4 linked regions of the Saccharomyces cerevisiae S288C genome follow. The protein of the gene in region 3 interacts with the protein of the main gene of each other region in a biochemical or structural test. Each region holds a gene or a part of one and is shown on either strand. Other genes may lie near its edges.

Evidence for each region.
Region 1: the proteins of KCC4 (region 3) and GRX3 form a complex in vitro, tested with the Saccharomyces cerevisiae proteins (one large-scale study listed by BioGRID).
Region 2: the proteins of KCC4 (region 3) and SCT1 form a complex in vitro, tested with the Saccharomyces cerevisiae proteins (one large-scale study listed by BioGRID).
Region 4: the proteins of KCC4 (region 3) and YKL091C form a complex in vitro, tested with the Saccharomyces cerevisiae proteins (one large-scale study listed by BioGRID).

The regions. Positions count from the first base shown.
Region 1 is NC_001136.10:643,678-650,635, forward strand, and holds GRX3 (monothiol glutaredoxin GRX3), read right to left. Parts: upstream 1,254-6,958; coding exon 501-1,253; downstream 1-500. Other genes in the region: mismatch repair ATPase MSH6, read right to left, coding at 1-160; YDR098C-A (gag protein), read right to left, coding at 6,127-6,958.
Region 2 is NC_001134.8:201,876-208,945, reverse strand, and holds SCT1 (bifunctional glycerol-3-phosphate/glycerone-phosphate O-acyltransferase SCT1), read right to left. Parts: upstream 5,409-7,070; coding exon 3,129-5,408; downstream 1-3,128. Other genes in the region: protein kinase ALK2, read right to left, coding at 1-1,752; LAA2 (Laa2p), read left to right, coding at 1,997-2,839; FMT1 (methionyl-tRNA formyltransferase), read right to left, coding at 5,685-6,890. UniProt on the Saccharomyces cerevisiae protein: Dual substrate-specific glycerol-3-phosphate/dihydroxyacetone phosphate sn-1 acyltransferase, catalyzing the first and committed reaction in the de novo synthesis of glycerophospholipids and triacylglycerols (TAGs).
Region 3 is NC_001135.5:77,520-87,327, reverse strand, and holds KCC4 (serine/threonine protein kinase), read right to left. Parts: upstream 8,167-9,808; coding exon 5,053-8,166; downstream 1-5,052. Other genes in the region: YCL020W (gag protein), read right to left, coding at 910-2,226; YCL021W-A (uncharacterized protein), read right to left, coding at 3,331-3,708; amino acid transporter AGP1, read left to right, coding at 9,409-9,808. UniProt on the Saccharomyces cerevisiae protein: Involved in regulation of bud growth during cell cycle and in septin organization. Plays a role in cell wall synthesis.
Region 4 is NC_001143.9:265,317-272,600, reverse strand, and holds YKL091C (phosphatidylinositol/phosphatidylcholine-binding protein), read left to right. Parts: upstream 1-1,950; coding exon 1,951-2,883; downstream 2,884-7,284. Other genes in the region: CUE2 (Cue2p), read right to left, coding at 1-723; GTPase-activating protein BUD2, read left to right, coding at 3,142-6,456; MBR1 (Mbr1p), read right to left, coding at 6,793-7,284.

The sequences.
Region 1 (6,958 bases), on a different chromosome or scaffold from region 3:
TCGCTGGAGTAGGCTTCTGGACCTTCTTTGACGGTGTGCCAGAAGGTACCTGTTTTGAGAAAAAAGATAACAAACTCGATTGCTTCATTTTCTTTTGAGAAGATGTGGAGCCATTTTCGAAGTGTGCAGTCTTAGAAGTTTTAGGGGTAGCTGGGGCCATTTTGGAGTTCAAATTGGCTTTGTCAAAATTAACTAGTTGCTCCAATTAAAAAATCTTATCTGTTAGCAAAGAAGGCTCCAAGGAAAAGCTCTTATTAGTTTCAACAGATGTAATTTCAAATATTTTCTCTATATGGCGATGACCTATACATGAATTTATGAAAAAGTGAGACGCGTATCAGCTACTGCTCACGCGTTTATTTTCTCCGGGCAATGGTTGTTCAAAAAGCCAAACTTAACCAGAAGCCATTCATTATGTCACACATATAAAAATGCTTGCATACCATTAGTTGGAAATGGAGACTTTTCTGTTTCAATTTACACTAAATACATCTATTTATTTAAGATTGGAGAGCATGCTGCAAAAAATCAGGGTCTTCCTCCAAGGATTCCTTGATAATGTCTAAACCGCCTTGAAACTCCCCATTTATATAAAGTTGAGGGAAAGTTGGCCATTCAGAAAACTTTTTCAAGTTTTGTCTAACAGATTCGTCTCTTAATATATCAAAGAAGCCAAATCTTACTTGATGTTCTCTCAAGATACCCACAAGTTGTCTCGAAAACCCGCATTTAGGTTCAGAGGGGCTCCCCTTCATAAATAACATTACCGGCGCGGCATTGACCAATTTAGTCAATCTAGCGTTTATTTGCTCCTCAGTTTCTTCTTCCTCTTCTTCGTCGTCATCGTCTTCATCATTATGACTCCCCTCATTTACGTTTGCATTTTCCATAGTATGAGTTTGTGATGATCCGGAATTGACTGAGTTCTTGCAGTCTTCTAATAAAGACACATACTCCTTTGGATCCGCGCCGGATAATTCTTTTAAGATTGTCCCTTTGTGAATTATGATAAAATATGGAACAGCTGAGATTTCAAAAAGTTCTGAAATTTCCGAGTTTTCGTCCGCATCAATGGATAAGAAAGAGACGTTGGAATTGGAAGGCTCATTACTAATGGCCTCAAAAACCTGCTTTAATGCTTTGCATGGTTCTGCCCAACTGGTATGGAAATAAAGCACGATTAACTTGTCGCCGGCCGCAGTGGTAGTTAGGTAAGTAAATTGCTCTTGATCGTTAATTTCAATAACAGGCATTTCCTGAAAAAGTTTTGCTGCTGTGTAATATCTTGCTTGGTGGCGTTTATAACAGTACGAGGTGTAGTTAAAAGAAAATGCAGATGGAACCTGAAAAGAACACATTTAGTCTTTGAAATATATTTTAATGACCTCTTAGTTTGGCATCTCATGACCCGGCACACATTCTCTGAAAAAAAAAAAAAGTAACTGATGGTTCAACAGAGAAGCCACAGTTAAAAAAGGTCCTACCCGGATTCGAACCGGGGTTGTCCGGATCAAAACCGAAAGTGATAACCACTACACTATAGGACCGTAACAACTGTGTATTGTTGTATTACGGGCTCGAGTAATACCGCAGTGTCTTGACAATCCTAATATAAACAGTCTTAGGGAAGTAACCAGTTGTCAAAACAGTTTATCAGATTAATTCACGGAATGTCACTTATCTTATATATTATATAAAATATGAATCATACTAAGTGGTGGAAGCGCGGAATCTCGGATCTAAACTAATTGTTCAAGCATTTATACGTTTGGGTAGTTCAGCTAGGGAAGGCCGTGTTTTATCTCATGTTGTTCGTTTTGTTATTGAGATATATGTGGGTAATTAGATAATTGTTGGGATTCCATTGTTGATAAAGGCTATAATATTAGGTATACAGAATATACTAGAAGTTCTCCTCGAGGATTTAGGAATCCATAAAAGGGAATCTGCAATTCTACACAATTCTATAAATATTATTATCATCGTTTTATATGTTAATATTCATTGATCCTATTACATTATCAATCCTTGCGTTTCAGCTTCCACTAATTTAGATGACTATTTCTCATCATTTGCGTCATCTTCTAACACCGTATATGATAATATACTAGTAACGTAAATACTAGTTAGTAGATGATAGTTGATTTTTATTCCAACATACCACCCATAATGTAATAGATCTAATGAATCCATTTGTTTGTTAATAGTTTAAATGTTTTTATCGGAAGAGGTTTTGTCATCACATCAGCAATGTTCTTCTTGGTCTCGATGTAGTATACGTATAAATTATTACCTGATACTTCATCTCTAAGTCTCATTGCCTTTGTGCCAAAAAATCTGTTTCTAAATTTCTCTTCATTTGTAGACTTAATTATACTGATCGTTGATCTACTATCAGTAAGTGAGCCTTTAATAATTGGTTTCTTGTTAAGTTCTTGCACAAGGTGACTGAGGTTATTCAATAGCGGAATAGCTTCACTGACTGCGTGTATTTCTGCTTCTGTAGTTGAAGTGCATGTTAACGAAGCCTTTGTCGACTTTCCTCCAATCACTTTTCCGTTGAGTAGGAAAATGTTACCAATTTGTGACTTGTAATATGGTTGGTTACCATATGAAGCATCGCTTATTGCGACTAGTTTATTATCTGGCTTGGTAGGTTTGTTTTTGTGCCATATTAATTGTTTATCTCTAGTGTCCCACATGAATTGTATTAACTCATATGTCATGTCTAAAACTTGCCTAGAGGGGAATAGTATATGTTGAGCAAGTGTGTTGATGTAGTATAGTAAGTCAAATCTAAATTTATATCCAACATATGAAGCTAGACCAATCAACTTTTGCATTTCATGCACTTTCTCTTTGTATTCATCTTCATCTATTTCTAGTTCATCCTGGTCTATATAATGACCTGGTTGACCTGGAGCTCTAAGTTTCTTTCCTTTTGGGTTCAAAGGTACGTTTAGTTTGGGTAATTTTTCTGTCAAGGATTTTTCCATACCTAATTTCATGTACTTGCTTCTTTGATATTTGATCTCTAATCCAAGTATGTCGTACTGAATTTCGTTATCACCTTCACCCAGATTTATTATCTTTGTATCGTATTGTTTCTTGAGTGTTGTTATGATTTTCTTATTTGCATTTAAGTCTTTGCTGAACAATATCATATCATCAACGAATAAGCAAATTGTTACTTGACTATTCTTAAATACGCATGACCATCCACGAACTTCTTCCATACCACACTGTTTTATCAGGTATGATTTGATAGTTTCGTACCAGTTCGCTCCACTTTGTTTCAATCCATAAAGTGATTTCTTCAAACGTATCAACTTATCATTCATTCCTAAATGTGGTGGAGGTCTTATGTATAATTCTTCTTTGATGTCTGCATACAAATATGCCGAAGATATGTCTAATTGTGTAATATAGTAGTTATTGTCTAATGCAAGTGACAGGGATGTCATTAATGCATAGTGATGTACGGTATTGGATTGCATGCCTGAGTCGTAAGTGTCAGGATGCTGAATATCACCTCTTGCAACAAATCTAGCTTTATGAGTACCGTCACGTTTCCTGTTGAAGATAAACATTGAATTTATTACTCTTTTAGGGTCTATTTCTTTTCTGTCATAATATTTGTCAGTGTCCCAAGTATTCATTTTCAATAGTTGGTTGACTTCTTTGTGGTATGCTTCGATATATTTTTCCTTTTCTTTAATATCTTTATTATAGGTGATTGCCTCATCGTATCTTAAGGTTGTCCGTATTGGTTTGATTGATTTTACTGCTTTTACAGCTGCAATCAGGTGAATTCGTTTCTTCGATCTCGGAGGTTCTAAACTACGCATATTCTTAGTATTCCATGTGTCTCGTGATACCTTAATTTCAGTTTCATTATCTTCTAATGATCTTTTCTTACTGTTGATAGTAGTATAGGCATTAGAGTCACCAATACCACCCAAACTGGAATTAGTTTGATGAGAATTTATCGGTGGGAGTTCTTTAAATGGGTCAGGGAATTCGGTAGGAGATTCTGGAGGTAGATCAGGGAGTGGGAGATCAGCGATGATAGATTCCTCGGTATTCTGTTCAGAAACAGTAGTTGGCGTTTTGATAGGAACAATATTGTGCGATGAATTATTTTCCGGTGGAGAAGCATCGATTGAAGGTGAACGGTGTATAATCCTTTTCTCAGTCTCTTGGTCACTTATCTGCGGAACAGTTTTGTTGTTGGTACCACCCGTACTGGATATTGGTACGTTTGTATGATTAGTCTCATTTTCACTGTACGAGTCTGAGTGTCTGAAATCTTTAGATTTACTGGCGTGCGACGACTCATGTGTGTTAGATTGGGACATGGGAGCAAGTAAAGGAACATTTAATTTATGCATACCACCCGAACCGGTACTCTCGATATTGGAAATTTGGGGGGTGCTAGATCTCTTCTTTGATGGAAGAATATTAGATTCAGATATGTTGGGGTCAACTTCTCTGGGTGCGCGAATATTGGTTTTAGAAACACGTTTCGAATCTTCAGTATGAGTTGACGGAGGTGTGGAATCGGTTGGACTCACAGCTTTTGAAAGGACATTTCTCGGTTGCTCAGGATGTAGTTCAATGTCGGATTGGAAGTCATGGTCAGATTCTATGTTAAGATCATTGGATTCTTGGATCTCATTTGACGCAATGAACGAATGATATGAAGCAGTTAAACGGTTTAAGTCTTCATCGAAAGTGAGTGCGTCGTAATTGAATTGATCTAATCTGGATTCCTTGCCCTGAAGAATAACATAGTTAGTTGTATCTACTGTCTTCTTTAAGGATGGAAGATAGATGATATATCCATAAGAGTTTCGAGACGGATGTAGAGCGTAGCCTGGGATGCCACGAGGATGTATTTTGGAGTTAGGGTTGTGATCATTGACGATAACAGGTTGACCGAAAGGTAACAAAGTACTGATATCAAGTCCTGCCAAGCCAGCATGTTGTCTTGCAGATTTTTTGCTTTTAGGTGAAGCTAGTGAATTTCTCACAATAGTAGAAAATTCGATTGCAGAGAACCATAAATGGTTCGGTAAACCACTACATTGCAGTTGAGTACGGCAGTCATCTAATAAGGTACGGTTTAGCCGTTCAGCGACTCCATGTGCTCGGGAATCCGCTGTGGTTGTATAGCATGGAGTTATACCATTTTTTTCAAGGAATTTATGGAGAGTTCTGTTAGTATACTCAGAACCACGGTCCATTTGTATAACCAAGACACTGGCCTGAAACTGGTTTTTAATAAAAGCTAGTATCGTAGTAAAAACATCGAGGATAGAGTCCTCGCGACGGTCGTGTAATGGATAAACCCAACGGAATTTTGTTGTCTCATCAGTAAATGAGATGAAATAGGATGGTGCACTATTTGGTAGGTTGTGAACTGGACCAAATATGTCAGTATGTAGGTATTGAAAGGGTTCGTATGAATTTTGGTATTTTAGTCGTGAACCTTTGATATGTCTGTGTTTGGTGCTTTTGCCGATTAAACAATCAGGACATTGATAGTCAATAGCACTAGACCAGTCGACATCTGATTCGTTAAAATACGTGATGGTGTTATTTTTAAGTGAGTATCGAATTGTCTGTGCATTGGCATGCGCAAGCATTCGATGAATGAAAGGATAAGGATATTTGCGTGTACTTTCACTTGTATGGACATTATTGATGGTGGGTACGGAGATATTTGATGGAAGCAAGTACTTTTTAGATACCCAGTAAAAGTCTCCATATTTTACGATAGGTGCAAGTACAGTGCCGTCAGATCGTTCTAAGACGTTTTTGGTAAAGCATGCTGTGATATCTACTGCAGCCAATTCATTCAAACTGAGTAAGTCATAGGCTATGTTAGGAGTGTGCAATACCTTTATTGATGTTTTGGTGTTGTCCTGGAAGTGAAATTGTAGGTCACCAATAGCGTTAATTGGTATATTTCTTTTTTGAGCATCAACTACGTTTATGCCAGGATTAGATGATGCTGAGTGTATGTGGTGAGCAGATCTTATAAGGGTTCGTGATGCTCCTGAATCGAGAAGGAGGTGTCCAGGGAGTTCATCATCAGAATGATTAGTGTGATTTACCGTAGATTCAGTAAGTTCCTGGCCTAAGATGAAGGTCGTGCTTATTGTTCAATTGAATCGGTTCAGTAGTTGATTTACTGATGGAATCGTTGTCCGTGCTGGGAGAGTTATTAGATGTGGATACATTGTGAGCCCTGGCTGTTTTCGATTTCGAATTATTTGTTTTTTGAGGATTCCGAGCTATAACTTTGGGTTTGGTTGTATTCGTATAGCTGCGAGAATCATTCTTCTCATCACTCGGATTTCTCCTGTAATTAGGTTTGCTGTTTCTCGATCCCTGTTGTTCTTCATAAATAGCATGGATATCTAAGAACAGTTCAGCGACTGTCATATTTAGATGTCGATGACGTGTGTAGCGTAAAAATTTATATTCGCCAGATAGACCTCTCATAATTAATTGGCATGCGACCTTGTTATTGATATGAATGCCATTATTGTTCAGTCTGTCGATAATGTTTGTGACTTTTGTTTCAAATGCATCTGCAGGTGTACTGCCATTATATTGCAAATTTGCCAGGGTCACAATGTCGTTTGCCTCTTGGGTATCAGATTGCATTTTTTCAATACTTTTGGAAAGAATTTTCATGATATCCGTATAATCAACGGATAGGATGTCTTTGACCCAGGTAGGTAGGAATTGAGAGGGAGCAAATATTTGAAAAGTGTTATACAAGAAGGTGAGTTCATCATCAGTGATCTGACGTACGGGTTTTCCGTTTACTGTCGGAATAATACCACCGAGATTCGAGTTTTGTAAAAATTTGATGTATGTTTTAACCCAATTTGGAAAGTCATTAGGTGAGGTTAACATTGGTGGTGGTCTGACATATTTTTTAGTG
Region 2 (7,070 bases), on a different chromosome or scaffold from region 3:
TATCTCGAATTGAAGAGTCCCCCGGCCTTGGAAGAAATAATGATGGTCTAATCTTGTATAGGAAGCCTTATTGTTGTCTATATTCAAGAAACGACAGCACTTCATATCAATTAAAGTAACATTCCCTTTAGAGTCTATCAAAATATGGTCCAAAGTTAGATTCCTGTGTTCGAGCTGAAATTTGGATTCAGCAACATATAAAATACTGCTGCACTGCCAGAAAATAGACAATGCTTGAGAGTAATCAATGTTAGAGCACCTTGATAGAGGAGTTCCCTGGTATTTGAAAAATAAGTACAGTATCAAGTTTTGGTCATTTTCACATTGATTTGAGGGCACAACATAAGCTTGCAGTAAATTGGCGACACCGCTAGTTCCTTGTATTAACCGTAATGATTTCAATTCATGTAAGGATATCAAGTTTGAAGTAGTCAAATCACTTAGAGCCCCTAGACATACTTTCTTGCAAATGAGTGAAGTTTGCATATCGCTATGATAAGTTTGCCAAAAGTTATGAGACAGCTGAACCGATCTAGTATTCAACGTAAACAAGCCTAATGACTGAGCTTCACGTAGATCATGTAATATATACTTAACATCACAAAGTTGTAATATTTGTTGCAAAATTGAATCATTGTAGTCCAAAGTGTTTATGGGAGTGACTTCTGAAGATAAGGATGCCAATGATGTTGAATTTTTCAATTTCAGTTGAATCTTGTCCTTTGAGACTTGGTCTGGAACAGGCAATGATATTTGGCAAGTTTTTTTGATCGGATGATTCAGTTCTTGTGTATTTCCTTTACGCCTTACTTTGAGCTTATTTAGTGAAGAATGTGATGTTTTATGCTTCAAACTTCTAAAGGAAAGGTTCGATGATGAATGTTTGTGGTTTAGCTCCTTCGTGCTCTGATGATCGGGCATAATAAATCCAGAATTCCTCTTCTTCTCTGTGTGTTTGCCACCACCAAAAATAGAATTGTGAAAACTTGAAATTGAAGACTTCTTTTGTAACGAATTGGTTGGTTTTGGCTGAACAAAGTTCGGATCTTGGTCATTCACAGATCTGGAAGATAGCGACCTCGACAATAGGTTATCATTTTTCCAGAACTTCCACTTTGAAGAAGAGGTGGTAGAAGTAAAGGAATTAACTGAGTTCACACTGGATGAATGAACATGAGAACTTGTCTTCTCGTCACCCCAGCATTTGAAATCACTACCGCTCCGAAACTTAAGTGATCTAAAATCTTTAACAGGCTCATCCCTTGATAAAGTCGATTGGTTTGAAATAGGTCTCAAGGGTGTACGAAACTTGGAGTTAGTCACCTTTGTAAGACCTTGCTTCGACAACCTTTTAGATGGAGAGAGCAGCTTGTTTTCCGATAGCACCGACTGAGATACATTTTCTTTGTTTGAAGAGTGAGCGGTATCATTAATATTAATTTTATTGAAGAGTTGTTTGAGCGATGAACCTGTAGAAGATCTTTTACCATAGTAATCATCGTTTTCGATGGTTTTACCTACAGGCCTTGTTTTGGATGTTGGAGAATCTGAAGAAGTAAAAAAGGATTGACTCTCATCTTCTGCTGAACCCTTGTGCGAAGTGATTTTGTAAACTTTTCTTCCTACATCCACTGCGGGGCTTCCCATGGATGAAGAATTTAATGAGCTGTCGGCATCATCGCTTTCTGCTACTTCGAGAGCAAAATACCTTCTGTCAGTCATCTGTTGATCTGCTACCGCATCAAAATTCATTTTCTCAATACAAATAGCGCATGTATGTGTGTTTGGTGAAATGATTTTACTACAACTAAATATATTAATACCAATACGCTTTAAGTTATTGTTTACTATTTTCGCTTTTCGAGAAGAGAAGATGTTACAAAAAGTTTCGCGAATTGCTATCAAAACTGAAAAAAAAAAAAAACGTTAGGCGTATCACAAACGAGAATTTAAGGTGTAGCAAGATAGAAAAAGGCACCTCTTTCAAAGCAAGCAAATGAGCGATAGAGATCAGATAGAACCTGTCACAAATGCATTAGATGCAGAAAGTGATTCTAGTGATGATTTTGGGAATTTTTCAGATGCCTCAGTTGAAAATGACCTCTATAACCAGAATTCTACTTTAACGACGTCTTCCGAATCTGTAGTAGATAACTGCTTGAATAAGATACTACCAAAGGGAGAATTTGACCTGGAAGAAGAAACCATAAAGAATGACTGTTTCAAGCTGAGCAAACTTATTGAAGATGAACGACCCCATGTCATTTATGAACAACTCGTACAATTAGATCCTGTGTTACAGCCATTCATATGGAATAAATCTCATATACGCAGAAACTTGCTCCACATTTTGAGATTATCGGATAATAATGGCTCTGAGGGTGTTGGTACGAAGAGGGAGGAAGAACCGTTGAATGATGAGTTGTTCAAAAGGATATGCGATGCAGTGGAGAAAAATGAGCAAACGGCTACTGGTCTCTTCCTGAGGGATAATTTCAAAATTGACTATACACCACCAATGACTTTAAAATCTCTTCAAAAGGAAGAGGAGCGTGAGCAAGAGCAGCATATACCGCAATTGCTTATGGCAGATTTTACTAGTATGGATGAAGAATCTTTACGCCAATACCACGATACATTGTGTCAATCCATTGACTTTTTGGTTAGTAAATCAAGATCATTGAAGAAACAACAGCGAGACCTCCTAAAGGATAAGACAACTTTTGAAAATGTAGTGACGAATTTGACAGGACATACCCAAAGACTACAGCGAGACGAAATTGCATTGTATAACAAAAAGCGAAACAAAAAGAAAAGGTTCAGTTGGGTAGGATACTAATCGCCGTCTCGGCAAAGCAGGTTGAACGTTGAAGTTTGAAGAGAATAAAATGTTATTAGTAGCATAGGGGACCAGACCAAAAGTCGTAAAAGAGCAATATACTTTTTTATAAAACATACAATTATACAATTAGTCCCCCCCTCAAGAAATAAAAAGCCCCTGTGCGAGGGATATACATAAACATTGAGCATTAATATTTACAACTCCCAATGAGCAATAATGGGTTTATTACATAAATAGAACGGCGAAAGATTTAGTTTCTAGTATCTTCACCGTCAGTAAATGGCATCTACGCATCTCCTTCTTTCCCTTCTTCTTCTTCTTCCTCTTCTTCTTCTTCCTCTTCTTCTTCCTCTTCCTCTTCCCTGGCAGTATTTTCACCAATTCTCTTGTTTAAGACGGCCTGTGCGATTTTACTTGCTAATCCATTTTTTTCCTCCAAGATTTCGTTTTCTACCTCAAATTCGGAGGAAGAAGAAGGTGCAACGGATGTCGAAGCTAAGGAAGACTCTGACTTACGATGAAAAGTAGAAGAGAATAATGGAATGTTAGAGAGGGAATTGTCACTATTGACCAATGAGACGCCATCGGAATCTTGGTTATGGTGTTCATAGGCATCGTGGTTGTCACGTTGGCTGATGATAGGTGATGACGAATCTTTTTCTTGTCTTTTTATTTTCTGTTTTCTTAGCATTTTCCTGCGATTCAATTCTGAGGTTTTTCGATCTTCTTCCTCTTCATCGATGACGTCGAATTCTTCACGTAGGGCGGCACTATCGAAATCGGGGAATAATTCGCTTCCAAAGTTATTTACAACTTCGATTATTCTTTCTGCCAGATTTCTACGATCCTTTTGTAGCTTTTGCAAGCCCTTTGGAGATGTAAGAGATAAAACCAGTGGTCTCAAAGATTTGAAACCATCCATACCAATATCACCCACGATTAAGGCGGAATACGTGACTATAACACACGAGATGTAAGACCCGGAAAAAACATATATTTTATTCCATGGTTTATGTCTGAGGTAATAAGTGATTAAAACGGACCAAAAGATGTAAAGCAAGGGCGCAAATCCCATCCCAATCAAGATTTTCCACGTGGCAATGACATCGTTAGCCTTTATTTTAACTGTAGACTTGGACAAAGCGGTACGGGCCTTTTCTTGAGAAATTCTCTTGGCTAATATGAAGACAGGTGAGAACATAATGATACCTGGCATGGCTAACGAAAAGAGGATGCAGAGCCCGATGGATCTAAAAAAAACAAGTCCGAGGTTTTTTGCGAAATTTACCTTTGCCTCCTCCACAAGGTGATCAGGAAGATTATAGTGTCTCAAGGCGGCATTATATGCCATTATATCTTTGGTCAAGTCCGCTATTTTAGGATCGTTTCTATAGAATTCGTAACCTTTGACCATTCTTCTGTTCATTTCCACAATCAAGGGCAACGGTAACTTGGTGCTAAATTGTGTCATATATAGTCTTCTTATCGTTTGAACCACCATCAAAGTTTCATAATCAGAACATGTAACGGTAACGGATTGTAAACCCTTCGATATGGTATCTAATAATTCTTTCACTGCATCTCTGTTCGTTTCCGGGTTGTGGTACTTGGCGACTAGTTCCTTCGGTATTTCAATGGGGTCACCGAATTCAACAACCGCTCTCGACCTGAACTTATGTGGATGGAAATAATTCATACCGCAGGGAACAATCTTAACATTGACGTCAGGATGCTTATCCATGCAACCAAGAGCCATAATCGCCACACCTGCTTTCAGGGGCAACAAGTTTGTTCTGTCGTGGGACCCACCTTCAGGAAAGATCCCAATGCAGTTGTTATGGGCCAAATGCTCAAAAACTCTATGGTAAACGCAAGATTGGTCGACTTTAGCGGCATATTTATAAGTAGTGCCGGTGAGTAAAGCAGTTTTAATCTCTGGTTTGGCCATTTTGAACTCTTTTCTTAGGGTCAAACTCGTGTCACTTTCTATGGACTGGATTTCTCCAAATCCCATTGATTTGGGTAACCCGATGAGACCCTTTGGCATACAATCAGTCAAGAAATGCGTGTCGTGGCCGATAACTCTCTTGTAGTCTGTTGGATCTACGCGGATAGTACCTTCTGCCGGTTTCAAATTATCCTGCGGCCTTACCACGCCTATGGCCATGAAGAAACTAGCCAAAAACCCTATGGGGGGTTGCTTTAATGAGCTCTCCGCAATCAAGAAGGACACACGTCTGTTGACAGATTTCTTCACCTCGCCCATAAGGATTACAGGGTCGACGAACTGGTTAGCATGCGGAGCCGCAACAAAGATCACCGGTCCCTGTTGCGGTACCTTGAAACTGCCCCGGCCTCTGATTTCTCTAAAGAAGCAGTGGAAGATGTTGTACAACAGCCATGTGGCGATGGAGTAAAGTATCTTCTTGGTAGCGCTAGGCTCTTGGTAGATGTATGCCTGATCAGCCGACGTCTTGACGCTTTTGGCCTCGATGGAACTGTAATTCGTAGTTTTCTGTGTGCTCTTGGAAGAGGCAAATTTCTCCGTGAGTTTTGGTGCAGGCATTTTTTTTTACCCCGATGTAAACGCCCCTGTGCTCTTTTTACTATATATTTAATTCCGGGCTTCCTACACTTAATTCACTCTGTTATGAACTACAAGCCATTACTAACATCAATCTTTCCGAATCATAAATAAACTGCAACTGGGAAAGAAGGCGGGCCTACTTTTCTTTTTCTTCATAGCGCGTAGGGCTTGGCAGCCATAGTTGTTGAGAGACCGATGGATGAGGGATTGAAAGAAGGGAGAAGAAGAATACTAAAAGAGGAATGTAGAGCCGGGTTACAGGAAAACTAACTTTTCACTCAGGGCGCCGCATCTTTTCCGCAGGCGCGCCATGAACTGGCCAGCACGTTCTACGGCGAAACCTTCGAACTGGAGGCGGCTCACACATAGTAGTAAGTTGCCGCGACAGGTGACCAAAATACAGTCTTTAATATCATCATATTTGAACATGCCCGGTTTACTGCCATTATCTAGACGTGCGTCTCTCATCACTTTACACTCATGAAACAATATTCGTTTTAATACTGAATTTTGAGCGTCCTTTCTTGCCGCTGTCGCTTCTTTGAACGCGTGCAGAGGACCGAGCGTTTCGAGTTTGTTAAGTAGTTCGGCGGCAGAATCGCGCGCCCAATGAATGCGTTTATCTTCTGTTGTTATACGGTGGGCGTAACTGGGTTTGTAAGCTGTTGGCGCTTGCACACGGTTCTGTGGTAGATATAACCTCTCACGAAGCGTTTGGCCCAAAAGTTGGGCGCCAAGGGCGCCCAACTGGTCCATCAGTATGGCAGTCCTCCGAGGCAGGCCCTCAGAATTAAAATCTGCCGTCGAATCATTGACTCTCCCTTTTGACAGCATTGTTGCGATCGCCAGTGGCTCCGTCTGCGCTACAATTGCACCATGGTCAAACCGATCCGGATGCAGTGTCTGTATAGTTACACCGGTGTAAGTGTCACCCTCGAGCAGAGCTCGCTGGATAGGTGCACTGCCTTTATGTCTGGGAAGTAGCGAAGGATGGACGTTTAGCGCCAATGGCACCGCGCGGATCAAGTCACCCGGAATGAGCTTCCCAAAAGAAACCGCAATGATCGCGTTGAACGGAGCACCGGAGCCGTCGTTCTCCGGATTTCCTTGGCGACTGGGTGTCAGTTTGCTTAGCGCCAACATTTCCTGCTTGGTGTCGCATGTAATTGGGCGTGGCAATTGAAGCTTCTCTGCCATATCGAAGATCGGCGGGTATTTCAAAATAGACTTCTGTCTACCGCACCACTTCGGCGACCTAGTTACTACTTGAATATTGTCCACTATACCACAGCTTCCATTATTTTGACGCAACTCATTGAGTGCTTGCAATGAGAAATTACTGAAAGTGTCGCTACCAAAGAAAAGCACATTCAAGGGCTGCACTGGTGGAGAAGCATTGTTTGAAATATATCTGCATGTGAATAGGAGGCGTGTAGGTGTTATTCTTCTCATTTTAACCATTTGTTTGATACGCCGTTTTCAATCTTCTCACTATGAGGTGCCTAGGTCCCCTTCCTTTTTTTTCTTACCTCTCTTTTTACGTTAATGAGAAAAGCGCTTACTCCTCTCCATAATAGCAGGTACAGCTTTTTTTGCTTTTTTCTTAATGGACGCTTCTTCCATTTGATATAAATATGGGTT
Region 3 (9,808 bases):
AGAGTTTTGTTAGTGTACTCGGAGCCACGATCCATCTGGATAACTAGAACGCGAGCATTGAATTGGTTCTTAATAAATGCTAATATCGATGTAAAAACATTGAGGATAGATTCTTCACGACGGTCGTGTAATGGGTACACCCATTGGAATCTGGTTTTCTCATCTGTAAACGATATAAAGTAAGAAGGTGCACTTTTCGGTAAGTGATGTACAGGACCAAATATATCGGTATGCAAGTACTGAAAAGGCTCATATGATTCTTGGTACTTTAGTCGTGATCCTTTGACATGTCTATGTTTCGTGCTTTTGCCGATTAGACAGTCAGGACATTGATATGTGCTAGCGTTAGACCATTCAATATCCGATTCCTTCAAATATGTAACTGCATTCTTCTTAAGAGACTTCTGAATACTTCGGAAGTTAGCATGTCCAAGCATTCGATGTATTAACGGATATGGATATTTATTTACGCTTTTGCTTTTGTTGACGTTGTTTATTGTTAGCTTTGAAATGTGCGAAGGAATTAGGTATTTTTTAGATAACCAGTAAAAGTCTCCATGTTTGACTATGGGAGCTAGGACTGTACCATCCGATCTTTCTAAAGTGTTTCTGGTAAAGCAGGCAGTAATATTTTGATTAGCCAGCTCACTCAAACTTAATAGATCATAGGCTATGTTTGGTGTGTGTAGTGCTTTTATTGATGTTTTGGTGCCGTTCTGAAAGTTGAAGTGAAGATTACCAATGGCATTTATAGGAATGTCTTGTTTTTGAGCATCGACTATGTTTATTTCAGAATTGGGTGTTGCATGGTGTAAATAATGGGCTGATCTGACAAGCGTTTGCGAAGCTCCTGAATCAATAAGAAGGTGATCAGGTAGTTCGTCATTCGAGTCTATTGTGTGTGTTGGCTTAGATTCTTTCTGTTGCTGGCCTAAGACTAAGTTCGTTGTCATCGCTTAAGTATTGTGATGAAACGGTTGATTCATTAATGTGATCATTGTTCACCCTTGAGAATTTACTAGATGTAGCAATATTGTGAGCTTTTGCTGCTCTTGGTTTTGAACTATTTGTTCTCTGATAATTACGAGTTGTAACCTTTGTGTTAGTCGTGTTTGGAGATGTGCGAGAAACATTTTTGTATTCGCTGTGTTGTTTGTATTGGGACGGTTTATTTAGATTCATGATTTTATTTTCGTCATATATTAACTGAATTTCAGCGAATAATTGGGAAAGTTTCATGTTCGTTTTGGTACGATATTGATTACGTAGGTATTTGAAGTCACCGGATAGACCTTTAAGTATTAGTTGACAGGCCAATCTGTCGCTAACATTGATATTGTTTTCTTTTAGCCTCTGAATGATCGTACTGACTGTAATTTCAAATGTATCAGCAGATGTACTTCCGTCGTACTCAAGGTTGGCAAGAGCTATCCAATCCTTTAATTCTTGATTGTTAGTTTGCATTTTGGACACACTTTTACAAAGGACTGTAAGGATGTCAGCATAATTAATTTCTAAAATTTGTTTTACCCATGTTGGCAATAAATGAAATGGGGCAAATGCTTGGAAGGTATTGTATATATACGCATGTTCTTCATAAGTCATTTGTCTTTTGATTTCACCCTGGTCATTTGGAATGATGTCACCGAGATTAGAGTTCTTCAAAAATCTGATGTAAAATTTAACCCATGTAGAAAAGTTTTCTTCTGATGTTAAAGTGTGTGGTGGTAAGACGTTATTTCTCACCTTTGTCTCAGCTTGAGGTACTTCAGAGTGTTGATTCTGTGAATCGATTGGATCAGGTGAGGAAGTACTCAGTGGTGGGATATACTGTGGCAACGGATAGTGTGGGTCCGGTTGATAATACGCAGGTGACGTTTGATAATGTGAACACGTCATCATAGACGGTTGTTGGTAATGTGCCCAGTTAGAGGCCATAGCTTTGTTTGGGGTCATCATGCCGTGCTGTTGGTACTGTCCATTCTGTGGAGGTGGTACTGAAGCAGGTTGAGGAGAGACATGATGATGGTTCTCTGGAACAGCTGATGTCCCAGGTGTTGTCTCTTGTTGAGAATTAACCTTAGTGGAATCTCTATCAAATTCCGGTAAATTGGAAGCTGAAACGGCTAACGGATCTTGATTTGATGGGACTTCCTTAGAAGTAACCGAAGCATAGGCGCTACCATGAAGAGAACGTGGATTTTGATGTAATTGTTGGGATTCCATTTTTTATAAGGCAATAATATTAGGTATGTAGATATACTAGAAGTTCTCCTCGAGGATTTAGGAATCCATAAAAGGGAATCTGCAATTCTACACAATTCTATAAATATTATTATCATCATTTTATATGTTAATATTCATTGATCCTATTACATTATCAATCCTTGCGTTTCAGCTTCCACTAATTTAGATGACTATTTCTCATCATTTGCGTCATCTTCTAACACCGTATATGATAATATACTAGTAACGTAAATACTAGTTAGTAGATGATAGTTGATTTTTATTCCAACAGATTTATTTGAGAACATTCATGATTAGAGGTCAAGAGGGCTGTAATAATGAAGATTATACATGGATCTTTTTGAGGAACTGGCGGACAATTTGATAATTGTTAGAATTCCATTGTCGTTAGAAGCTATAATATTATGTATACAGACTATATTATAAATTCTCCTCGAGGATTTAGGAATCCATATGAAAAGAACGTGGATTTTGATGTAATTGTTGGGATTCCATTTTTTATAAGGCAATAATATTAGGTATGTAGATATACTAGAAGTTCTCCTCGAGGATTTAGGAATCCATAAAAGGGAATCTGCAATTCTATACAATTCTATAAATATTATTATCATCATTTTATATGTTAATATTCATTGATCCTATTACATTATCAATCCTTGCGTTTCAGCTTCCACTAATTTAGATGACTATTTCTCATCATTTGCGTCATCTTCTAACACCGTATATGATAATATACTAGTAACGTAAATACTAGTTAGTAGATGATAGTTGATTTTTATTCCAACACCATAAAAGGGAATCTGCAATTCTACACAATTCTATAAATATTATTATCATCATTTTATATGTTAATATTCATTGATCCTATTACATTATCAATCCTTGTGTTTCAGCTTCCACTAATTTAGATGACTATTTCTCATCATTTGCGTCATCTTCTAACACCGTATATGATAATATACTAGTAACGTAAATACTAGTTAGTAGATGATAGTTGATTTTTATTCCAACAATAATATATAGTAGTAACCTGAAAAATAGTCAATGCCCGTGGTTCATTTGCCAATAGAACAGTCGATGTGATCAATGTACACGAAAGTCAATATAAAATATCCAAATAGCCAATGGTGTCAGGACGGCTAAGGCAAATGCAACTTTGAAATACTTATTCGGTTTGCATCTTGGCAAGCCGGCCCAGATACTCTTTACCCGTTCAGTAAATAAGAAAACCCTTTGCTTGAGACTTAACGGTACGTATAAAGTACTCTGTCTGTATAATCTTTGCTTTGTCGGTGCCAGTCTGAAGGTGGTTTGCGATTCACTTTCGATGGGCAATTTGTGGGTATATTTTTCGCAAAGTAAATGAACAGAGTCACTTGAGTGGTTGGATTCCAAATCAAAAAAGGACATGTCAGACGTTATAACCGGACTGCGCAGTTCTTCGGCATCGGTTAGAACCATTTAAAAATATTAATTTCACGTACCTTGCTTTATTTTACTGTTCTTCTGGGTGCTTGAAAGGTATTTATGCCCTTAAATTCTTTCCATTTCACTTCTCAGGGATTCAAGGAAATCCCGAATAACTTTGACAAGTCAAATATTTGCCGTGAGTCGCATAATCGAATACCACATAGGGTTTTTGTGGTTCTCGAGCATGGAGGGAAACCGTCACGCATTCTTGGCATTTTTTCAAAGGGTCCAAAAAGTAAGGGCTAAAACAATAGCCGCCAAACTGTTCCTTTTCATTTCTGTGGGAAAGAGAGAAGCAAGAAAATTTCTTGGAGTGAATTCCAACTTGATAAATGGGAGAGCTATGTGAGTGTTGTCTGCACTATGCTAGGAGTTCCGATCGAGAATATGTGAATCCACAAAAGGGAATTGAGGTTATTATGTAGAAATGCTAATTCCATTTTGAGGATTCCTATATGCTCGAGGAGAACCTCTAGCATATTCTGTATACCTAATATTATTAGCCTTTATCAACAATGGAATCCCAACAACTATCTCAAAATTCACCCATTTCTCAAGTAACATGAATAGTACTTGAGAAATGGGTGAATGTTGAGATAATTGTTGGGATTCCATTGTTGATAAAGGCTATAATATTAGGTATACAGAATATACTAGAAGTTCTCCTCGAGGATATAGGAATCCTCAAAATGGAATCTATATTTCTACATACTAATATTACGATTATTCCTCATTCCGTTTTATATGTTTATATTCATTGATCCTATTACATTATCAATCCTTGCGTTTCAGCTTCCACTAATTTAGATGACTATTTCTCATCATTTGCGTCATCTTCTAACACCGTATATGATAATATACTAGTAATGTAAATACTAGTTAGTAGATGATAGTTGATTTCTATTCCAACAGTACTAAAGAGGAAATATTTTAGGGTTCCATTCCAACAATTTACGTGTTTTTTCAGAATAATTAATTTAAATTGCAGATTTTATTGGAACAGTTGAGTTGAGTTTTTATGATGTTTTTATACACCATTAGTTCATCTTTTTATTAAATAATTTTAATAATTTGTTATCCGATATAGTGTAACGGCTATCACATCACGCTTTCACCGTGGAGACCGGGGTTCGACTCCCCGTATCGGAGTTTTTTTTTTCTGCTATTACAATTAAAGATTTTTTCAACTATATCTGAGATTGTTGACCGGTCCAAATATTTAATAAATTACCATTTTATTTTTTTCAAAAAATAGTTACATATATACATTTATTAATTATATAACGGTGTTACATCGTATTGTCCATTTGGGGATCGATTATCCCTCCCTTTTTTTTATTTGTCCAAAACACCTTCTTTTTGTAAAATAATTTGGATTTCTGTAGCAAGCTTGGTCAGCGTTTTAGTAGATCCTGTTTTCTTATTGAATTTAATTAAACTTCTACCGTCTCCATTTGGTAAAACCATTATTTCAAAAAGCGTAGATCGTAAAAATAAAATACTGTCATTCACCAATTTTCCTGTTATGATCATATTAGTGATGTTAAACACCAGGTTTTTCAACCCGTATTGCTTCCAGCCTTCTAGTAGTTTATGTAGGCCCTCGTATAGTCTCTTTTCAGGTATTTTGGCATGTATTTCAAGTTCTAAGATTTTACCTTTTGAGAATTTTTTCAAGAGTACGCTGTTAGGTGGCTTTTTTACTGTAGTAGGGGCATTCACTGTGTCGTTATCTTTCTTGTCATTATCTTCCTTCAAGTCATCGTCTGACAGGGAAGCAGCGATTTTCTCACTCTCAGTCCCTTTTTCCGCCCCATCCTCTATGTTTTCTCCGACGCTGCTGTTATTACTTGTAAGGCTCGGTAAGGTTACCTTAGAAGGCTCTCTTTGGTATAGGCCCAACCCACTGGCGTTTTTTCCTTGGAAAGAACTCAAAGACGGAAGTTTCACTACCAGTGTGGGCTCTGCGCTTTTTGATATTGGAGATTGGTTTGGATTTTTATCCTTCATGTCGTATTCCTGTGATATGCCAACGCCTTGAGGAAAGTCGCTCAATATATTATCATTATTCACATTATCACCATCCTTACTATCATCCTCATCATATTGTATATTCCTTGAATCAGTGATACTCTCGGCTATTTCGGGATCTTCGCTCCTACTTTCGTTATCAGTGCTTCCTTGTGGAGGCAAATCAGGATCTTCCTTTATTAAAAATTCGTTTAAGTCTTTGATTGAATCCTTCGCATACAAAGATAAGACTGAGCGCCGATTATTAGCAGTAGTAAAGTGTTTTGATTTCCTCGTGAAATGTGGGACTTCCACATCGGATATCCTACGAGGTTCCATTCGATCATTATATATTAGTGGTGTGGTTGAAACTATGGGAGACTCTTCGATAGGTGCCAGTTCACTTTTCCCTGGCGATAGTCCCCCTCTAACATTTAGTAGCGATCCTAAAAATTTGGATCTGCGTATCGTTTCTATTATTTTCTTTTCAGTATCCTGCAGCAGAGCTGTTTTTTCTTTTAGGTTGTTAGGAAGTGTCTCAGTAACAGGCGTTAATCCGGGATCCAGTCTCGAAATAGGCCTAGTATATGACGAAAGTTGATAACGATTCGTTAGTAAGGTGTCTATATCTTGCAATAGTTCTTGTTGCGAAAATTCGTAATTTATCAACGGGGACGACACTTTGTCATTTATTTTTTTCAGCTCTTTCATTCCATCAGAAACTTCGGATCCAAACTCGTCCTCATTAATCTTCTGTGCATTCACTGATTGCCTTTTTGCTTCCTGAACTTTTCTTTGAAGTTCAGCCTTTTCTCTTTTCGCCAATTCAAATTTCTCAGGCTCAAATATTTCATCAATCAGTGTAGCGAAGTTGGAACTTGTTCTCTTTGCATCCTTTTCAATGTACTCCCAATCATCATCATCTATTAGGTTAGTAAAGTTTGATAATGATTTTGATGTTAGTGAGCTTCTTTTTGTATTAGGCATATAAGATAATCTTTTGCTTGACCGTTTTTTTGAGTTCCTCTTGTGAGGATTCGGGACACCACTTGGCGTTGCTTGGGTATTTGCAGACGCTACGTTAATATGTGTAATTCTTTTACTACTTCTCAAAGGTATTGGAGAACTATCGGTAGGATTCGAGGACAGTAAAAAGGACGATCTCTTCCTGCTAGAAGAGAATTCCCTGGAATGCCTCTTGGATGTACGTCTGCGTGGCGTAGATTGTATGCTTCGGTTGTTCAATAATAATGATGACGATGACGAAAGTGTGCTAGATCTTTTATTTTTTTTGGTTTTCTTTATCTTATTGCGGTTCTTCTTATTCGATCCCCTTACAGAGTCCAGTTTGAAACGGTATAGTAGCGCATATAGAATTTTTTCTTTGTTGGTTCCATTCTCTTTCAGTTTAGATACGATGTCATCGGCGTGTCTACCATGCCAAAGTACCACCAAGTTTTGTAGGATTGAATCATCGATAGAGGCGCTAGTATGGTTGTTCGAGTCAGCCAGTGGATATAGATAGGTATTTTCACGAGGTAAATCTTTGATACTTTTGGAATCCTTAATGGTTTGATATTTTTTTAGCAGTGGATGACTAAGGATGTCTCTGATTTTTATTCTTTGCCTGGGATCTACAACGAGAATCTTGCCGATTAAATCTTGTGCATCTCTGGAAATTTCGGTGTCATTGGGCATTTCAAACTGGCCCTTTTGGACTTTCAATAACAAATCCCTAACATTACCGTTTTCTTCATCGAAGGGTAGTCTACCCGTTAAAAGGGCAAAGAGGATTACACCGCAAGACCAAACGTCGCTGGCAAATCCTTCATAGGGCAGACCTGATACGATCTCAGGAGCGGCATAATGAGGAGACCCACAAGAAGTTTCTAGCAGGTCGGCGTCTGTCTGTAAAGCTGCCATACCAAAATCCGCAATTTTGATATTATAGAAACTATCGAGCAAAAGATTTTCTGGCTTTAAATCCCGATGTACTATTCCTAGCGCATGGCAGTATGAAATGCCTATAATTATCTGTCTGAAGCAATTGATGGCCTCACGCTCGGGCAAGGGACCGTGGTCCACAAGCAAGTTGAACAGTTCTCCCTTTTCGGCGTATTCCAGGATAAGGTACAGGTTATTGTTGGTTTCCCAAACGTCGTAAAGACTCAGAACGTTTGGGTGGCTCAAAAGTTTCATAATAACAATCTCACGCTCGATGTTGTATGGCAGCACTGAATCGTCGTTACTGTGGTTTCCGTTGTTGTTGAAAATGGACTTTGAGATTACTTTGACGGCTGTTCTATGGCCCGTGCGCTCATGTTGCGCAAGTTGGACCTTGCCGGTGCTACCAAAGCCCAGTGTTTCACCAAGCTTCCATGGGCCTATAGTACTCGATGGTTTAGCAGCAGAATGGGTCTCGGTATTCGCCACAGTCATACTGCAGTAGTTCTGGTAATTTACGTCAGCACTATTATCAAGCCTATACACGTTTATTGCACACTCTATTATGCTATTCTACGCTGTTGTATCCAAATTTACATCTTCTTTTTTAGTTTTCATGTAGTTTTCAAGAGAGCCCTTTTACTAAGACTGCGTTACGCGTTTTCTTGCACAGCACGCGAAAAAAAGAACGAGATGTTTTCCTTTTAAGGAAAACATATTAGCATAAATCGTCATTGCTGAAAGAGCGCCTTTACCTCAACCTACCATGGCAAACATAACAGAAAACATAAAAAAATTATCCTAGAGCCCAATGTTCCATGAAAAGAGCTGTGGCAAGGACAGAAACAAAAAAAAAATCAAGAACTCAACATTACCTATATAATTTTTGTTTTCTCCCATTTTCAAAGTCATTTGTTTTCCATTTTGCAAAGCAATTATTATATCAATAAGCCTTTTGATGACTTTACCTAGCACTCTTTCAAATAGAATCTTCTTACGAAGGTGTGCATTCTCCCTTTTATACCTCGGCGGCTTCACTCGGCGGCTAACCCCTTATTTCCTCATTTCCTCGGCGGCTAAAAAGGGACTTTGGAGAAATCTTGCATCCGTGCCTCCCACGGCATTTTTTTTTGGTTTCTTTTTTTCCTTGACCGGCATAATAGAAGAAAAAAAAAAGCGCGCCGTTCTTCAGTGCCGCTTGAGGGTGCCGTCTAAGCGGCACTGATCTGCTGCAAAAAGCTGCAACTTTGCCGTTGATGGCACTCCCAGTGGCACCATCGCACTAAATAACGGTCTCATCGAGTCATAGATAAGCAGGTTGCAGTATCCGGCCAACTTTCAACTCCCCCACGTCCAGCGGATTGCTGCTCCTTAGTAGTCCACAGTTCTTAAGTTGCGCTGCGAGGCTCTTTTTTTAGTGCCTTCTAGCCATTTCTTCCAGCTTGGCAGTGGTTATCTCTTTCACTGAACCGCAAATCAATCCTGATAAGACGGCTAAGATGCATAGGATAGGTCGGCTATACGTGTGTCTTGCGCTATCTTCCCCTCGTCCGCTAACAAGACTCATATCCTTCGTGATTAGTTTCTTTTTGTTATTTTCCTCGTAATACTCATTTGTTTTACATACATATATAAGTGCTTTGTCTTTGATGGTCTGCCCACAACAATGTAGAACAAGTTTATTATGTAATCTTTATAGAAGAAGCACGCTAATATAGACAAAGATAGCTTCGCACAATGTCGTCGTCGAAGTCTCTATACGAACTGAAAGACTTGAAAAATAGCTCCACAGAAATACATGCCACGGGGCAGGATAATGAAATTGAATATTTCGAAACAGGCTCCAATGACCGTCCATCCTCACAACCTCATTTAGGTTACGAACAGCATAACACTTCTGCCGTGCGTAGGTTTTTCGACTCCTTTAAAAGAGCGGATCAGGGTCCACAGGATGAAGTAGAAGCAACACAAATGAACGATCTTACGTCGGCTATCTCACCTTCTTCTAGACAGGCTCAAGAACTAGAAAAAAATGAAAGTTCGGACAACATAGGCGCTAATACAGGTCATAAGTCGGACTCGCTGAAGAAAACCATTCAGCCTAGACATGTTCTGATGATTGCGTTGGGTACGGGTA
Region 4 (7,284 bases), on a different chromosome or scaffold from region 3:
ATCTGCAACTAATTCATTTAACTCAACCATCTGCGGACTATCCAAGGAGTGCTTATAACTCCTTGGCCTTTTGAGACTCTCTTGAGCAACATTTGCGGATTCTTTACCCTTTTTCAAAACGTGGGCAAGCCCCGTCGATGATTGAACTCGACCACCTCTCACAGTCGTATTAGGACTCCGTTTTACTTTGAAAGTATCCACATCTTTTTTAAAATCCCTTTTGTCGTAATAATCCAAAATGATTTTGATGATCGCCTTTACTGTATCAAAACCATTTTCGGCTAAGTATTCCTGCGCAATATTTTTGGGAGCGTCGGTAAACTTTATTATACTCTCTATGTGATCGTTTGTTGATTCCCAATTATTTTTCTTTTCGTTCCTTTTTACGCTATCAGGAGAATTTGCTTGATTGTCTTTAAGTTTTTGCAGGGTTTCATAATTCAGAAGATCAGAAATAGTCGATTCTACGGACTTCTCATTTATTACAAACTGATCTTTTATAACGCTGCAATCAAGCTGAGGAAACATGTCGTACAGTTGATGTAATTCATTATCAACTGTAGACTTATCGTCGTTTTCTTTTAACAGCAAGCCTATCGTTAAATCCAAATCATTATTGTTTTCAAGTAAATGTACTTGTAATTTGGATTTGGAAATAGCTGGAAACATGTCCATCAAGATTGACAATTTAGATTCATGGTCATCATTGTTATCCATACTCATTGCATGATCTTATATGCACGATAAATGAGGTGTCATAATTGCTTTATATTGATATACTGAAGGCGAATATCGCTGTTGAAATTTGAATTTTTTCGCATTTTTTTTTTTAACAGTGAATATCTTGGTGATAGAGGCAATTTCCAAACTGTGAAAGCAATATATCCTGATACATAATTCAGTACGTATGTTTGTTGATTTATATTTCATACGTATTCCTCTACGGTTTCAAACGTCTCCCCTGAGGCTTGTCTGTGAGTGTCCAGCGACGTTAAAGTAACATATGTTTGTTCTACGATATCTAGAATAAGTCTCCTTATAGTGTCAGTCTTTTCCATTCAGGATCGAGCACAACAGTTTTTTTTTGGCTGTCCCCTATCCATTATTTATGGAAATGTTTCAAATTTTGAATATCAATCAGACTATAATATTATGAAGAAATATCCATGTGTGCACGATTTATATGTCCCTAATTATGCAAGAAAAGCTAATATGAATACAAAAAAAGGCATGTGGGTGAATTACAAACTGCAGACTGTTTGAAAACAACCTTTTCAATGCATCCAGATTTTGTTGAAAGTATTTTTTTATGGACCCTGAGGACCGGATAGTAAGACAACAGGTGATTAACCTCCAGATGGTCCTTTCTCCTACTATTGTCCTATCTGATGACACCTCAATATCTCACCAAGTAAGCGACTTCAGAACACTCCAGATGGAATTTATGTGCCTTAATTATACGTAAAACATTGTCCGTTCTCTTCAGTTATAATTACTGCTGATTCAGGGGCGGCAGCTGATATATCTCGAGTCACCTTCAAAAATCAAACCTGCTATTGGGACCCGTACTTCCATTTGGATTTACCAACTTGATTCTTCTATCAGAGACGAAGGCCCTTATAAACCTTGAACCTGAGCTTAAAATTTACATATTACTTTCTTGTAATCATTAAGTATGAATTTGCAAGGCGTTTACATGAAAAGAGGTCGGCATAGTACATATGGAAATTTACTGGTATGCAATCCATTATGTGTTATCATATCTTTTTTACATAACAGGCACTTCTGAAATTCCCCCTCTTGTATGCCCCTATTTACTCCTTTTTAAATTCTTCGGATTATTATTTAGATCGTGATTCTCTCTACTCAAACATTTCCTTGAACTTGTATAACGGGGAAATAAATCTGAAAAGCAATACATTTGCGCACTGTTAAAACTGGAAAGGAAGAATGACAACCAGCATACTCGATACTTATCCTCAAATATGCTCCCCCAATGCTTTGCCAGGTACTCCCGGCAATTTGACTAAGGAGCAAGAGGAAGCGCTTTTGCAATTTAGGTCAATCTTGTTAGAAAAGAATTACAAAGAAAGGCTGGATGATTCTACGCTATTGCGATTTCTACGGGCAAGGAAATTTGATATCAATGCTAGCGTTGAGATGTTTGTAGAAACTGAACGATGGAGGGAAGAATACGGTGCCAACACTATTATCGAGGATTATGAAAACAACAAGGAAGCCGAAGACAAAGAAAGAATCAAATTGGCCAAAATGTACCCTCAGTATTACCATCACGTTGATAAGGATGGGAGACCATTGTACTTCGAAGAACTAGGAGGAATTAACTTAAAGAAAATGTACAAGATCACTACCGAAAAACAGATGCTAAGAAACTTAGTCAAGGAGTACGAATTATTTGCCACGTACCGGGTCCCAGCGTGTTCGAGAAGAGCTGGCTACCTTATTGAAACTTCGTGCACTGTGCTGGACTTGAAGGGTATCTCACTTTCTAATGCTTATCATGTGCTTTCCTATATTAAAGATGTTGCAGATATCAGTCAAAATTATTATCCTGAAAGAATGGGTAAGTTTTATATTATACACAGTCCATTTGGTTTCTCGACGATGTTCAAGATGGTTAAACCCTTCTTGGATCCAGTAACCGTGTCAAAAATCTTTATTCTTGGCTCTTCTTATAAAAAGGAATTATTAAAACAAATTCCAATCGAGAACTTGCCTGTTAAATATGGTGGTACATCTGTCTTGCACAACCCTAATGATAAGTTCTACTATTCCGATATTGGTCCCTGGAGAGACCCTAGATACATCGGACCAGAAGGTGAAATTCCCAACATTTTTGGTAAATTTACTGTTACCAGCTAACTATGATACAGGCCTTCGTCGTAGCTTTCCGTGAATATAGCATGCATACTCTATAATATGTATATCTCTGTATCTAATAATAATTAATGACTTTCATTCTTGAACGCGTTCTGTTCGATAAAAAAGAAAGGTATCCAAACAAACGCCATTTATGAAAACGGAGGAAGAAACAACAAAATAGTAGGAATAACTACTCGGTCAGACTGAAAACTTTATCCGTGCATACGTCGTGGTGTTTATCTTTGATTGTATCATATTATGAGCTCCAACAATGAACCGGCCCAAAGTCGAACATCATATTTCAAATTGAATGAATTTTTGTCCAACGTTAAGCATTACAAGAATACCTTTAAGGGTGAGATTCAGTGGTGTAATAACCTGTCCTTAAACGACTGGAAGACACACTATCTGCAAATTACCAGTACAGGTGCACTAACCCACTCAATCGATGAGTTAACAGCAGACTCTACTAATATTCAGCCAATTATCAAACATCTACAGCAATGTAGAATCGAGATTATTAAGGATAAGCATTCCTCTTTTAAGGATATTAATGCAAATTGTAATTTTATAATCCAAGTAAACACCTCAGGTAAAGATAATAAAGTTTACCTGCGAGTTAAAAGTTGGAGTGATTTCAAGAAATTGCTAACATGTCTGATCTGGTGGAGCTCAATGAAGACAAATGGTATATTTAATAAGTTTCAAGTATCGCGACCTCTAGAATTTAAAAGCAAAAAAATGGCGAAACCAGAAAGTTTGCTGGTTTACAAATTGAATGTTTTTGGGCCCATCGTTAAGAACATCGTCCTTCCGCCAGCAACAAATATTTTAGAAAGCCCTGATATAATTAATAATGATGACAACAGCGTAGGTTGGTTTTCCGCTATGGGGGTGCTTAAATCAAACGGCATGCTAGATCTTCTTTTACAGAGTGACGGCTCTCTGATTTACTCATTGAATATTAGCCAGCTTTTAAGATCAGAGATAAGAATTCTGGATTCATCTGTTTTACAAAGTGAAAACAGTTTGTTTTTAGGTGAATTGCCATTACTAAGGAGCCAGTTGGGCCTCGAAAAGTTTCGCATAGAAAATATTGCCAGTGCTGCCACCAACTCTAGTGATATTTCTCAAGAAATTATTGTAGAGTTTCCCTTAAGAATAGACCTGGAGGATTGTTTTATAGCGTTACAATCGTTCGCTAGGTCGGAATACTTATCTATTACTGGCTCAGATAAATCAAATGATATGAAGATATCGAATAGCTTTAAAATTTCCATACTGGAAGCTAATTTTCAGTCAATCAATTTAAATGACAAGAATAATACGCCATGGTCAATATTCACAGACATAACGGCCTGGGGCCATACATGGGCTAGAACATCCATGGTTTCAAACTCCTCTAATCCATTTTGGAGAGAAGAGTTTCAGTTCAATGAACTTTTAAGACTTACTAATTCTTATCTGGAAATCAAGCAGTTATTCCACGATCTCAATAATAAAAAACGGTTACGATTGATAGGCAAAATAAAAATCACACAAGAAATAATAAATGATACAAGATATAATAAGGAAACAAGACTACCCATCATGGACGTTGATAACAAAAATTTTCAAATAGGAACAATCTGTATTAAAATTTCTTCAAATTTGAACTTCATTTTACCGTCAACCAATTTCGTTAAATTGGAAAAACTTTTGATGAACGCAAACTTGTCCATGGTTTCCAATCTAATTTACAAATCTTCTTCATCAATGGAGAATGATAACAAATTGACGCAAACATCCATAATTTTTCTCGATATATTCCAATCTTTGTCAAGAATAGAAGAATGGTTCCACGTCCTTATAGACAAAGAATTGGCTAAAATTGATGGAACGGTTTCAAGAATAAACCAGAAAAATTTAGACTCAAAGCATGTTTTCAACAGTTTATTCCGTGGTAACTCTATCTTAACAAAGTCGATTGAACAGTACTTTTTCAGAGTGGGTAATGAATATTTGAGTAAAGCGCTTAGTGCAATACTAAAAGAGATCATTGAGTCAAACAAATCATGTGAATTGGATCCTGCTAGAGTAAAAGAAAAAGATGAAGTAAAAAAGAGGAAAATAATTGCCGACAACTACAAACGATTGTATTCTTGGGTTACGAAGATTTGGAAAAGGCTGTATGCAACGAGTAATGACCTGCCGATTGAAATAAGAAATGTTTTAAAAATCTTTAGGCAAAAACTAGAGATAATTTGTATCGATGACACTTTGCAAATAATTTTGAATGGTATATCAGGATTATTGTTTTTAAGGTTTTTTTGTCCAGTCATATTAAACCCTAAGCTATTCAAATATGTTTCTCAAAATTTAAACGAAACAGCAAGAAGGAATCTTACCCTAATAAGTAAAGTTTTACTTAATCTGTCCACTTTGACGCAGTTTGCAAACAAAGAGCCCTGGCTAATGAAGATGAATAACTTTATCGATAAAAGACACAATGACTTATTAGATTACATTGATAAAATGACGCAAAAGAAACTAGATTTTAATTCAAAGATATTGAACCTAAGTTCTACTATTTCGAGACCCAAATTGGCCATTGAACAAACGATGTTGGATGATTTGCCTCAGATTCCTTATCTGCTTGATAAGAATTTGAGAGAAACTGAGTTTGTTAACTTGATTGTTAATTTCAGTCAGGAAGATATGACCAAGATGGAAAAATACAATCACATGGATAATGGTGGGAAGGGAGAATTAATCGAAGAGGAGGGCCTGTTAAGCGGTAGCAGCCTAAATTTGTCTGTGGATAAAAAAGATTTGGATTCACCAATTGAGGTTAAGCCAGAAATTGGAGAGTTAGAATTTGAGAAAATAACTGAAAACAACACGGAGATCTTCGGAGATGATTTAATGAACCTACTGAAAAGCGATGATGTAGGTTCCAGAAGCAGAGATTTGGATAATGGCGCTAATTCAGGCATCAAATTTAATTCTATAATCCCGAAAGCAGAAGAGGAAAAGCATGCAATGAAAGAATTGGAGCAAGAGTCATGTTTACTCTATAATAGGATTAATCATATTAGAAAACGGTTGTCAGGTTATGAATGTGCTTCCAGCACTTTGTTTGAAGACAAAAAATACTCCATTTCACTCTCACATAAAATTTTTTATGAAGAAATAAAGGAGGGAAAAGAAATTGTTCTTAAACTACTAAATAAACCAACAAATGAAAACTCTTCCGCAAGATTGCAGAAATTCTTCACAAAAGGTGTCTCTAGTAAATCCAATAACACAGTTGGAGATAGTTACTGTAAATTTTTGACTATTGATGTAAGTGATGAGAATCCCAAGAGTAGCAACAAAACATCGGTACATGGAACATCATCGGAAAATGGAGCCAAGGATGATTACTTGACGCTTCCAAACTCGCAAGGTAAAGGTAACTTGGGGAATAGATTTTCCCCGACAAAGTTATCTAGGATAATGAGGAAACCTCCTAACGCAGATGTTCCTAAAGAACAAAATTCCCGTAAGCTGACAAGATGGTTCAAAAAGAAAAAAGAAACAGGGGGATCTTAATCGTAGAAAAAAATGTTCACTTCATATTCTTTCCTTTGAAAGTTTTTTTTTTTTTACTTCTTTATTCACTACTTGTAACAGTATATAGCGGGTTGTACTATCAGCAGAAAAAAGTAATTCATAATTTTTCAGAAAGATTTCTCATAATATAGTATATAAAAAAATGCTTCGAGAGGAGATGATAGACAGCGATAAGTATATGGAAATTTGGAAACCAAACAGGAGATACAAATGGGTATATATTATATTTAATAAAAACGAACAGATGGCGATCCAGAATGTGGAAATAAATAACAAAGTTGAACATCATACGGTTATTCCAAGGTGGCGAGAATGTTAGCCTGCAAAGGAACTTGCTAGTGACATCTCAATGAAAGATTTTTTCCTCCCAGCACCAAAGTTTGGTTTCGAAGACTGTTGCTGTTGTACTGGCTGCCTTGGTTGGTGGAATTGATTTGTATTTGTACCTAAAGGGAAATTTAGTGATGAGGAAGTGTTCGAATGTGATAATGATGAGGAGGTGTCCCCTGTATCGTTCGGACAACACGATGATATTTCACGGGGCCGATTATTTGAAAACCTTTCAATACTTTCTTCTGGGTCAGCAGTCAAAGTATCCAACCCAGGTGAAACGTACTTTTCCAAGCCATACAAATGTGTTGGTATGGCAATGGCAGAAGACCTTGATCTTGACCTGGGTAGAGAAAACGACCTTGAGTTGCAATGTTGAAGTGAGTTACTAGAGAATTCTGAATTGGGTGTTTCACTTTTCAGTAATACGTTGTTTTTCTTTTTAGTACACGCACCGCTAAAGAGCTCTGGTATAGA